Oryctolagus cuniculus: one gene and its partners. Each later gene encodes a partner of the first gene's protein in a complex. Links are inferred from orthologs where the notes say so. Each region holds a gene or a part of one and is shown in the gene's direction. Other genes may lie near its edges.

Region 1 (3,789 bases):
ATTTTATAATAAATAAATAAATAAATAAATAAGCTCAATATTAAGTCTCAAAACCTTCAGAACTGAGTAATTGAAACCCGAGAAAGAAAAAGATGTCTTTTGGATTTTCTTTTGTTCTTTCATTAATCCCTGATAATGACTTTACCATGTGGTGTTGATTTATCATGGCCCTTATTCATGTTTTCTTTTTCTTTTTGCCCACGCAATTCATTTTGAATAGCTCTGGAACAATTACTTCCATTTGGCTGTAGCATTTCTCACCCATGAGTCCCTTCAACTTGAAACCTTCTCACAGGCCAAGCGCAGCAAAATTGTAAAAAAGTAAGTGTCCTTTTAAGCTTGTTTAGGATTGGAAAGGTGATTCTTCTGTTCATATTCAGAGCAATATTGTTGCTATCACAGAAATTACTATTTAGGGGCTACTCGATGTTGTTAACAAAGTAGGTCTTAAATCAACCATTTAGTAGGTTCAAATTCCCCTGGATTCTCATCTCTTTCCTCAAGGCCCTGTGTGACTGCCCTCAGTCCTCCCATGCCTTCTGTAGAATCTATACAAGCAGAGAGGCTCCTGGAGTGGCTAGCACTCTGTCCCCCAAGAACACATGCCATCTGCTGGTGGCTCCTCCCAATTACAGGCATAGTGCCTCACTCATGCTTCACAAAAAGCCAACTCCTTTGGCAGAGGAGGCAAGACTCCAGCATAACCTAAAAATGTCCTCCAGACTCCTGGGTTGGCATTCAAGATGGAATTATGTGCAAGAGTCCTGAGAGATTTATGGACACTTTAGTGCTTTCCTCTCAGGTCAGCTTCAGAGTCAACTGAAAGCTGGGAAACTCAAAGACTGTGCAGTTTAAAAAGCAACTTGAGAGATGTATCATTTAGAGAACTTCAGAACTTGAATTCCATTTCCCTTGCTAGCTTGTGTTCGGTTCTAAGCAAGTTCCTCAATACTCCCGTACCTCTGGCCCCTCCCTAAACACCTGAGTTACTGGCTGAGGGACTGAGATTTACTTAGTGACTTTGTTTTGAAAGACTGAAGTATAACCTGGGAAGTTAGCCAATGCCAAGTCTGTCAGTGGCTAGGTAGGGTTAATGCTTCTAGTTTTGGTCATGCAGCAAAGTATGACTGTGAAGACATTTTTAAACATCAGTATGCATATGGGCAAAGATAAAACTTAGGAAATAAAACCAATTATATTAAGGTTATAGAAATGTGAATGAACTTTTATTTCAAGCTTTCCCTTATTTTTAATAGAAGTGTATCAACAGAAGTATCAATAACAATAGTAGTTATCATTTATTGTTCCTTATGTACAAGAGTTGGACAACATATATTTCTAATACTATTACTAAATTGGGATATTTTTGTTGGAATGGAATGGGTTTCTGTAGGCATTTCCAAAGTAGAAGTTTGGGGAGAAAATATGTTCAGGGCAATCAGCATGAGTAGAATAAGGTAGACTGGTGGTGGTAGGATGGGCCATAGGCATGTGTTAGAGCTCCCTGGGAACATGTACTCAAAATCATTTCACCCTCCCCACTTCCAGTTCTGTGTTGTGGGGATGGCCTCAGATGTATGCGTGCCTTAGCAGAGTTGCAGGTGTTTCTGATTCACCTCCACCCAAGAATCTCATTCTAGAACCAGCAGAACTCATTATCAGCTCTGATAAGGAGCCTTTTTAAGACATTATTTTTCAAATCATACCTTCCATGAAATTTTAATGCTACAGATAGATTAGTTGTTCATTGATGCACTCTGTCTATACTGCATACATAAAAACAGTAAGCTTCCCCCACCCCTTAAAGCCAGTCTCGTCACTTTGGAGATAGGATTGCCTCTGTTGAGAATGCTGGGTCTAGGGCTGCCCAGTGTGAGTGCCCTGAAGAGCACAGTGGTCGGGTATGTGTTACCTGAATAGGAGTGGATGAAGTCAGCTGTCAGTGCCCTTACCGTGAAGTCATACCCTTCACCTTCATTTGTGCTTCTTGTTTTGCCCGTTTCCTTCTTGGCTTCACAGCAACCAGAGTGTTTCTCACTCTCCCTTCCTTCAGTAAGTTTGTTAATCTCATATTCTCAGTTATTTTTCAGCACTGGGCCCCTCCTGCCATTCAGTTCCCCCGTCCCCATATGACTCAGTTCTCTTTCGGGGCTTGTGTTGGTATGGGTCTCACCTCTTGCAGACAGCCTGCCTTAATGTGACCCAGAAGGACATGGGCTATTTTTATCTTCCATATCTTTGTATATATTCAGTACATTTCTACTGCAAACGCTCTTCTTGGTTTATGATCTTCTTCCTAGATATGGGGACATGAGAAAGGAAATCGGCTTTAGAATCCGGGACATGTGGTATAACCTGGGTGAGTGTGTGACCTTGAACAGGCCCAAGCACAACTGCTGTGTATAAGAATTCTCTTTTTATTTAATCCATAAGGCCTTGAGCTTTATTTATTGATATGTGTGTATGGAAGTAGAAGTTGATTTTTGGGTTTCACACCCTCATCTGCACTGGGACATTGACCGTGAATTGTCTGTTATTGTAGCATCCACACATTATCAGGATACTGTATTTCACTACTCCTGAATGGAGCTGATGGATCCATGTAAACCTTTTCCTTATTTAAAAAAAAAAAAAACATTTATTTATTTATTTTAAAGACAGAGTCACAGAGAGGCAGAGGCAGAGAGAGAAAGAGAGGTCTTCCATCTGCTGGTTCACTCCCCAAATGGCCACAACAGCTGGAGCTGGGCTGAACCCAAGCCAGAAGCTTCCTCCAGGCCTCCCATGTGGGTACAGGGGCCCAAAGAATTGGGCCATTCTCCACTGCTTTCCCAGGCCATAGCAGAGAGCTGGATCAGAAGTAGAGCAGCCGGGACCTGAACCAGAACCCATATGGGATGCCAGCACTGCAGGCGGCAGCTTTACCCACTACACTGCAGTGCCGGCCCCAAACTTTTTCTTTTCTTATGGGCCCCGTGGAGTAAGACTGTAGCGCATTACATACTGTGGAATGATTTTTTAATTTCTTCATTTACTTTCATTTCAGGTCCCCACAAAATCAAATTCATCCCATCCATGGTGGGTCCTATCCTGGAGGTCACTCTGACCCCTGAAGTAGAGCTCCGGAAAGCCACCATCCCCATTTTCTTTGATATGATGCAGTGTGAGTTCAATTTCAGTGGAAATGGCAATTTCCATATGGTAAGGAGTGGGAGAGCCTGGATCTTACCAATGCACAGAGAATCAGCACTTACTTATGTGGGAAGCAGCCACCTGATAATACCAATCAAAGCTGATCTGAAAATTCGTTTTCATGTTTTCTTTTTGTTAGAATTTCACTTAAAGTTTCTTTAACTAGTTCATTGATTTTGTTTATTTGAAAGGACAGAGAATGCGAGATAGAAGTGAGATCTAATAGTTTATTCCCCAAATGCCCACAATAGCAAGAGCTGGGCCATACTGAAGCCAGGAGCCAGGAACTCAATCCACATCTCCCGTGTGGGTGGCAGAGACCGAAATACTTGAACCTTCATCAGCTGCCTCCACATTAGCAGGAAGCTTGAATTGAAAGGAAGTCAGGACTTGAACCCAGACACTCCCAAATAGGTTGTAGGTATCTCGAGCAGTGGCTTAACCACTGTGTTTCTTTTGTAAAGCAGTTAGAGATATGGTCTGATATTCCAGCCCAGAATTGGAAGAGTTCTTTCCACTACATGTCTTTCCTAAAGCAGCACTTTGTCTCTGGGTAATTAAAAGTTGATCTCATTCACTTTATTCTGTTTGTTACAG
Region 2 (3,250 bases), on another chromosome or scaffold:
ATATTTACCCTACTAATAAATACAGCAGCCTTTTTATTGGCGCTTCCTATGTGTTATGGCTCATATCAAACTTTCTTCACATTAACTCATCTCTAAGCAATTTGAATGCAATATCCAAGATTATCACCATTTTACAGGGGAGAAAATCGAGGCTCAGAGAACTTAAAAATATTGCGAAGGTCATAGATAATTAGCTGGTAGGGCTATGGTTACAGAATCCCTGCCCACCAGACTTTAGTATCCAGTTCTCAGCAATGACTTTTTTTTTTTTTTTTAAACATTTATTTATCTGTTTGAAAGGCCGAGTTACAGAGAGGCAGAGACAGAAAAAGAGATCTTCCATTTGCTGGTTCACTCCTCGGATGTCCACAAGGAGCCTGGAACTCCATCCAGGTCTCCCACGTGGGTGGCAGGGGCCCAAGTATTTGGGCCACCTTCTGCTGTTTTCCTGGGTGTGCTAGCAGGGAGCTGGATTGGAAGTGGAAAAGCCAGAATTCGAATCGATGCTCATATGGGATACCAGCATTGCAGGCAGCAGCTTAGCCTGCTGCATTACAATGCTGCCCCAGTGATGGCATTTTGGTGGCATTGTGTTCTGTACCTGAGGCCCTGATATTCTTCATAGGTACATATTCATGGTTCAGGAAAGGGACACGTTGAGGAGAAAAGTTAAGTTTTTGTCTTGCCCTTCTGTTCATCCCTTCCTGACTTGCTTTGAAGGAACACAGCCAGATTCTAGTCCAGGTCCCAGCCACAGCTCAATCTCCAACATTCTCCTGCCAGACAGGGCTTTTCATGCTTACAAGAATGATGGCGGTGGCCTGTCCCCCCATCCCAGAGCACTCTAGATTGGCATAGGGCAGCAGTGCTCCTTCCTTAGTGGGCTTCTCACTGCGCTCTTTGGTTCATACTCAGTAGCCAAGATGTCAGGTTTGGAGAATTTGAAACATCAGTGTGGGGTGGACCCTGAGCTGGGAAAGGTTCCACCCCGGCCACATCCCAGAGTGGGAAGGCTGCATATTAGTAGAGGAACTGGAAGATCCTTACGTACTCTCCTGTGTCTACATTGCCTAGAGAAACAGGAAAATACCTGATACTTAAATACTTTCCATATATTAAATAGTCCTCATGATAACTCAGTGAAGTAGGTTTTATCTTATCCCCCATTTTATAGATGGGAAAACTGAGGCATAGAGAAGGTAAGTAATTTGTCCAGGATCATACTGCTGGGAAATAGCACCAGGGTTTGACCTTAGTCTGGCGCCAGAGCTCATGAACTTCCCCCCCATGTTGGACTGTGTTCTTGAAGCATCTCACTTGGTCTCTAGGCCTCACATCTGTCTCTCTGATGTCTGTCTTGGTGGGGGCTGCTGTTAGGTTAAGGGAACAGGACTTGGTTTCCCTTTGTCTGCCTTCATCCTTTCTTCTCGGTAGGTAGAGGCCTCTCTAACCAACAATATCCCTCTCATCTGTCCACAGGTCACTATACCCAGAGGGGCCCAGGAGAGGGAGGAGGCGTTGCCTCCACTGCAGCAGCTGCCCCCACAATGCAGAGCATCAAGTGTGTGGTGGTGGGTGATGGAGCAGTGGGCAAGACGTGCCTGCTCATCTGCTACACAACCAATGCCTTCCCCAAAGAGTACATCCCCACGGTGTTCGACAATTACAGTGCCCAGAGCGCAGTGGATGGGCGCACAGTGAACCTGAACCTGTGGGACACTGCGGGCCAGGAGGAGTACGACCGCCTCCGCACACTCTCCTATCCTCAGACCAACGTCTTCGTCATCTGTTTCTCCATTGCCAGCCCGCCCTCCTACGAGAATGTGCGGCACAAATGGCACCCGGAAGTGTGCCACCACTGCCCCGACGTGCCCATCCTCCTGGTGGGCACCAAGAAGGACCTGAGAGCCCAGCCTGACACCCTACGGCGCCTCAAGGAGCAGGGCCAGGCGCCCATCACACCGCAGCAGGGCCAGGCACTGGCCAAGCAGATCCACGCTGTGCGCTACCTCGAGTGCTCGGCCCTGCAGCAGGACGGCGTCAAGGAAGTGTTTGCCGAGGCTGTCCGGGCTGTGCTCAACCCCACACCGATCAAGCGTGGGCGGTCCTGTGTCCTCTTGTGACCCTGGCACTCAGCTTGGAGGCTGCTCCCCCACCCCCACCCCCGCCACCAGTTGTGCCTTGGTGCCTTGTCTGCCCCCAGCTGTGCCTTAAGGACTAATTCTGGCACCCTTTGCCAGGGGGCTCCCTGAATGCCTTTTTTCTCCTTAAGGAGGCCTGCAGGGGAAGGGGCTTTGGGCCTCACCCACCCTGCTTGGGAACACCAGGTATTCTCATGAGCTCACCCAGGCTGAGGTTGGACCCCTCCCCAAGAGGCCAGTCCAGTGCCCCTTTCCCCGTTTTCTGCTACTGACCAATTGATCCAGCTTTCCACACAGTTGTTGCTGCCTGTGGTGTCTCCTTTCAGGTTAGGGGCTCTCAGCCATCTCTAACCTCTGCCCCTGCCGCTCCTAAAAGTGCCCCTCCCTCCCCAGATGCTCTCTCCCTTCCCCCAGGAAGGAGCCATAGAATCCTGAGAATATGAATGTGTCCTAACCTGCCCCCATGTGCCCAGGCCTTACGCATCCGCTGACTGACTCAGCCCCCTTGCTCCTGGGGGCCTTTCCTACCCCCATCAGCATCAATAAAACCTCCTGTCTCCAGTGGCCCCGGCTCCTCCCTGTGTGCTGGGGATTAGGGGTTGGGCATGGGCTAGGGCTCCCCAGAGACTGGGAACCTTTTGTTTTCTATAAGAGGGGACAGGGGACAATAAGCTTCATTGTGGTCTCCCCCACCCCCCAATTTCCCTAACAAAGCTCTGGGCTCTCAGAGGAGCCAGTCTTGCTCTAGGGTCCATCCCCAGATGCTGCAGTGGACCAGGATGCAAAGCTTGAAGAGACTTCCTGATCTAGGGTTGGAAAGGGAGTGGTTGAAAGCTACCATCCAGAAGGCAAGTGCTCTCACAGTCATGCGTTTGGGAGCTGTCCCCTTGGACTGACCAGCTGAGGTAGAACCCAGGGCATCTGCCTCAGCTAGAGACTGCCAGGTTGTCCCAGCGTCCAGGCCTGGAACTGATGGCTCAGCCCTTCTCACTCACCAAAAGAGAGGCTTAGGTCAGCCCTGGGAGACCTCATGCCTAAACTGGGGGCCACTTGGAATCCTATCCTGCCATTGGCTTATTCCCTCATCCTGAAGCCAACCTTTATTTCAG
Region 3 (4,261 bases), on another chromosome or scaffold:
CTCACAATGCCTGCCCTAAAGGTAACAATTGTGTATGTCTTATCTAGGGAGTTGTAGATCAAATTCATACTTATCACTCTGAGTGTCTCATGGCATCATTAGTAAAACCTTCATTTACTGACTGCTTACTAAATTACCTCATTTAATAGTTGCCCTGTTGATGGTTTTTATTCTATCATTATGTTTTATAGACAAGGAAATAAAGAAGTTAAGTTACTTCCCTGGGATAACCCTGCTTTAAGTTACTGGCTTAAAATTAGCTAGACCCAGGCATCCTGCTACTAATACTGCCTCCTGGAGTTCTGCATAGAATAAGGGGTTAGATCAGGGCTGTTAGCTGGCAATATAATGTGATCCACTAATGAGAGCCATGTGTATATGCTTATATTTTCTAGAAGCTGCATTTTAAAAAATGGTAATTTCAAATATATATGTGTGTATTTATATATCAGCCCACTACATTAACCCGTGACCCATTACAGTTAAAGGACTGTATTGTCATTTATTGAAATGACGTAATCAATGTAAAGATAAATTAGCACGCTAGTGTACATGCCGTTTTTCATACTAAGTCCTGTGCAGATTTTACAGTTACAGTAGGCGCATGTCTGGGGCTCAGCACCTACTTGTGGCTCCGGGCTGCTAAAAGGCCATCATCCCAATGTGAAAATTGGGGGGAGGGGGAGGGGTGCAGAATGAGCCTCACTGGGAGCATGGCCCTCCACCTTACAGTCCGCTGCCTCCTGCCAACAATTTATGTTCTTTGCCGGTTAGAAGCGACTGCACGGCAGCTGCCTATGCCTTTTCCCGGGGAGCCAATGTAGACATTTCTGAATTTGGGGAGGGCAGGCATTTCTCCAGCCACCTTCCAACAACTGTTTTTCCCCTTCTGCCAGCTGGGCTGGGAGCTAACGCGCGAGATTTCTGCTTTAAAAATGACTCAGGAAGGTTGCATGAATTAAAAATTTTTTCCTAAATGCCAAATTGGGGGGCAGAACGTCTCTTGCTTTATGCAAAAATTATGCCAAGTGAGGGAGTCCCTGGATCACTGGATTAGAAGTAAACCTTGTGACTTGAATTACGGGGTCAGCAAACGCATAGGTGACTAGGGAGGCAGAGGAAACGCTCTGCTGTTATTTTTGCTACGCCGTCCAAGGGTAGAGGCACGGCGTCAAAACAAACACACCAGCCTCTTCAAGTAGCTGTAACAGCCCACCAAAGTTTCCCCTCAAAATCCCCAACCCCTTGCCAAAAATGAACGCATATAAAAAGATGCCACGCGCTCTCGGCCTCCCGGAGGTGGCGCTACGAGGGTGACGGAGTTAATTAGTGCCTGCAAAACGCCTTGTGTGAGCTCATCGGGAAAGTCATGCTCCGCACACATATTATTTATAGCAGATCTGAGGCATGCACGGTGTTTGATATTTCCCTCTCTTTAAGGAGGGGGACTTCAAAAAGTCGTGGGCACCCCCACCCCACGCCCGCCTCCGAGGCCAAGTGCGGTGGGCAGGCCCCGCGCGCGGGCGGGAGGCGAACGCGCCAACCACGCGTGTCCGGGCGCAGGTGCCGGGGGCGGCGGCAACTCCGCAGCGTCCGCTCGGCAGGAGAGTTCGCGGCTGCTCTCGGGATGCCTTGCAGATGCAAAATGTGTCTCTGGCCAGCAGGAGGAAGGAAGAGGAAGTGAGAGCAGCAGCAGCCGGCGGCGCAGCAGCCGGCCGACCCAGAGTGTAAGTGCGTGTTCTCGGCGAGCAGGAGCGGGCGAGGATGGGCACGGGGTAGAGCCCGAGCCACACACCCCGCCGCGGCCCGGAGCTGAGCGACAGACCCCCGGACCGCGCTCCGTAGTCGCGGGTCGCTAGAGCTCTGGTATCTGGAGCCCTCGCCGCCGCCGCCGCTGTCCTGCGACCCCGGGCAGGTTCGTAAAGTTTCCTGGGCTGGCGCCGCGCCCTGACTCGTTGACCTCAGCGCGGCCGGGGAGGGGGCTGGGGCTCGGGCTCCGGGGGAGGCGTCCCGCTCCGGGGGACTCCGGACGCCGCGGAGACACTTTTGTTCCCTCCCTGGGGGCGCCGCGGCTGGCGCGGGGGTGGCCGCGGCGCTTGGCCGGGTGAGGGCTGCGGGCGCGTCGGGGCGCCCTGCAGTTGGCGAAGTCTGGGCAGAGCGGGCGGCGGGGAGAGGTGGTCGGGGATGGAGCGCAGGGCCGGGGCCCGGGAACCCGCGGGGCTGTTTCCACCTGGGTCGGCTGGAGGGGGCGCCGGCGCGCCGCGCGGCTGCCACAGGGGTGTTGGGGACCGCGGAGTGTGAAGCTGGGAGCTTGGAGTCAGGATCCCCGGGGGTCAGAGACCCGGGAAGCTGTGAGAGAGACGCGGCTGGCCGCGCCGACGCCGGGGTTTTCTCGGCACTAGGCGATGGGAGGGAATCCCCCGGCGAGCGCGCTCCTGGGCGGGGGAAGTGATGGGCTACTACCGGGCTGGGGGCCCGCAGGGGCGGCAGGGGGCGGTGTGCGCAGCCGGGAGCGCCTGGGGCTCTCGTTAGCCAGTACCCGCCACCTGGAGACGAGCCGCGGTCCCCGCTGGGACCGGGAAAGGCGGCCTGGCGCGGCCGAGGGGGGTGGTCTTCGATGGCAATCCCGGCTCGGGAGAGGGGACGCACCGGGCGCGCCTTCAGGGAAGGGAGACGGCGGGCGGAGTGCCTGGGGCCTGGAGCCCAAGCGGAGCTGGGCGGCCGCGGCCGCCTGAGTCGCTGTAAGGAAGAGAAAATAGAGAACTCAGTCGGCCCGGGGGTGCGCGCGTGTGTTTGGGGTTGGGAAGTCCGGGCTGTGCCGCGGGCGCGCGCGCGTGTGTCTGTGCGCGTGTGTCTGTTGCGCGCGCGTGTATGTGTGTGTGTGTGTGTATGTGTGCACGCGCGTCCGCCTGTGTGTGTGACCGCGGGGGAGCTCCGCAGCCGCCGACTCCCCGCCGAGTGACCCTCGCCCGCTTGGGGACCTTTTGAAGTTGGCAGCTGTTTGTTGATGACCGCCAGACCCGCTTGACCTAAGGCTGCGGGGCTTGGCGCCCCGTGGTGACCCCGCGCTGAGGGCCTCTGGACAGCTCCAGAGACTCCCTGAGTGCCTTTCATGATGCCTGCCCCCCCCCTCCCCACGCCCCCACGCCCCCACGCCCCCGACCAGGGAGGGACCTGCCAGGGCCGCTGGCCCGGAGTGATGCGAACCTTCTGCATTAAGGTTAAGGCTTGGGGAACCTAAGACAGGAGTTTGTGATTCTGGGGGGTGGGAGTGGATGGGGCCGTGAAGGAATTTTTTTAATTGTTTCAGCTTCTGTAAAATAAAAGCAATTAATGCTCTCTTTGAGAGCCCCTTGGGGAACTCGGGGGACCAGGGCACTCACACTCTCTTTATGATTGTGAAAGTTGCCAGCAGCCATTGTTAATGGCCTCCCTGGTCATAATTTTTCGCATTTTCTTTCACCTCCATGCCCACTTCTCAAGGTTGTTTCAAGGATTATTGTCACCCAGTTACCGACCTGGGGGCCATAAGTTAAAGGCTACATCCTCTGCAGGCAGGTGGCAGAATTCTTTTTTTTTTTTATAGCTGACCTTTGAACCTCGCTCTTTCTTATTGTTAACCCATGCCAAATTGTGGGCCCACTTGGCGGGTTCAGTCAAGAAGTGCACCAGAAGTTGTCACACAAAGTAATTTATTTGCAGCAAAGGAGACCACGGGGACTCGTTTCCAGAGCTGTGACTTCACCAGCTGGAGACACAGGTAGCCTTTATTTTAGGGATGGAAGAGGGGGTGTTCTTGTCATGCTTTGGGTACAGGTTCAGGAACATGCTCTCACACAGGTTGCCCATTCTGGTCATAAGGCAGAGACCTCAGTATTAAAATGACACGAGGAGTGAACTTTACTTGGTACGCGCTGACCCACCGGCCTAGGGTTGCTCTTGCAGTCCGGTCTGGACTAGGCCAGGGTGGCTGGGAGTGCATCTCTCCCGGGAATTCGATGCAAAGCCTGATAGGAACATCAGGTGCTTGTGGTGGGCTTGAGCGGGAGATGAGTCACAGTGAAGACTTTTGAGCTGCTCTGGGCATTAGCTGGCGGCATGACAGTCGATGGTGCATTTCCTGTCTCTTAAATGCGCCTCTTGCCTTCTTTCCTACTATATTTATTACTCAAGAATTTTTTTAAAAATGAGATGGACTGGTAAGTGTTGAGGAAATGATCCTCAATGCAGGGACTCTGCAGGAGCAGGGGGTTGTGTCCGG

The links. The genes of interacting proteins can lie anywhere in the genome.
Region 2: the proteins of DOCK5 (region 1) and RHOG are in contact, whole or in part, in a cryo-EM structure (PDB 8XM7), measured with the Homo sapiens proteins. The link is inferred for Oryctolagus cuniculus from reciprocal best matches to the Homo sapiens genes DOCK5 and RHOG. Residues at the interface, in NP_079216.4 of Homo sapiens: Val232, Phe345, Asn393, His394, Lys395, Gly396, Trp400; in NP_001656.2 of Homo sapiens: Ala121, Pro123, Leu126, Arg127, Arg128, Lys130.
Region 3: the proteins of DOCK5 (region 1) and ELMO1 are in contact, whole or in part, in a cryo-EM structure (PDB 8JHK), measured with the Homo sapiens proteins. The link is inferred for Oryctolagus cuniculus from reciprocal best matches to the Homo sapiens genes DOCK5 and ELMO1. Residues at the interface, in NP_079216.4 of Homo sapiens: Met1, Ala2, Arg3, Trp4, Val14, Ala15, Ile16, Tyr17, Asn18, Ser22, Gln23, Gln30, Ile31, Gly32, Asp33, Thr34, Glu39, Tyr41, Gly43, Trp44, Arg46, Tyr48, Lys56, Ile58, Pro60, Glu61, Thr62, Tyr63, His65, Leu66; in NP_001193409.1 of Homo sapiens: Ile7, Val8, Lys9, Ala11, Tyr18, Pro19, Leu21, Glu23, Glu36, Asp39, Gly40, Ser42, Asn71, Gly72, Gln392, Asp393, Leu400, Glu401, Lys468, Arg531, Glu535, Leu536, Lys539, Leu547, Gln550, Gln551, Asn554, Arg555, Asn582, Thr688.

Annotation. Positions count from the first base shown.
Region 1 is NC_091433.1:48,826,679-48,830,467, reverse strand, and holds part of DOCK5 (dedicator of cytokinesis protein 5), read left to right. Parts: intron 1-220; coding exon 221-321; intron 322-2,300; coding exon 2,301-2,359; intron 2,360-3,046; coding exon 3,047-3,201; intron 3,202-3,789. UniProt on the Homo sapiens protein: Guanine nucleotide exchange factor (GEF) for Rho and Rac. GEF proteins activate small GTPases by exchanging bound GDP for free GTP. Along with DOCK1, mediates CRK/CRKL regulation of epithelial and endothelial cell spreading and migration on type IV collagen.
Region 2 is NC_091432.1:63,071,582-63,074,831, forward strand, and holds RHOG (rho-related GTP-binding protein RhoG), read left to right. Parts: upstream 1-1,547; coding exon 1,548-2,123; 3' UTR 2,124-2,705; downstream 2,706-3,250.
Region 3 is NC_091447.1:27,806,590-27,810,850, reverse strand, and holds the start of ELMO1 (engulfment and cell motility protein 1), read left to right. Parts: upstream 1-1,416; 5' UTR 1,417-1,727; exon of another isoform or gene 1,728-1,915; intron 1,916-4,261. UniProt on the Homo sapiens protein: Involved in cytoskeletal rearrangements required for phagocytosis of apoptotic cells and cell motility. Acts in association with DOCK1 and CRK. Was initially proposed to be required in complex with DOCK1 to activate Rac Rho small GTPases.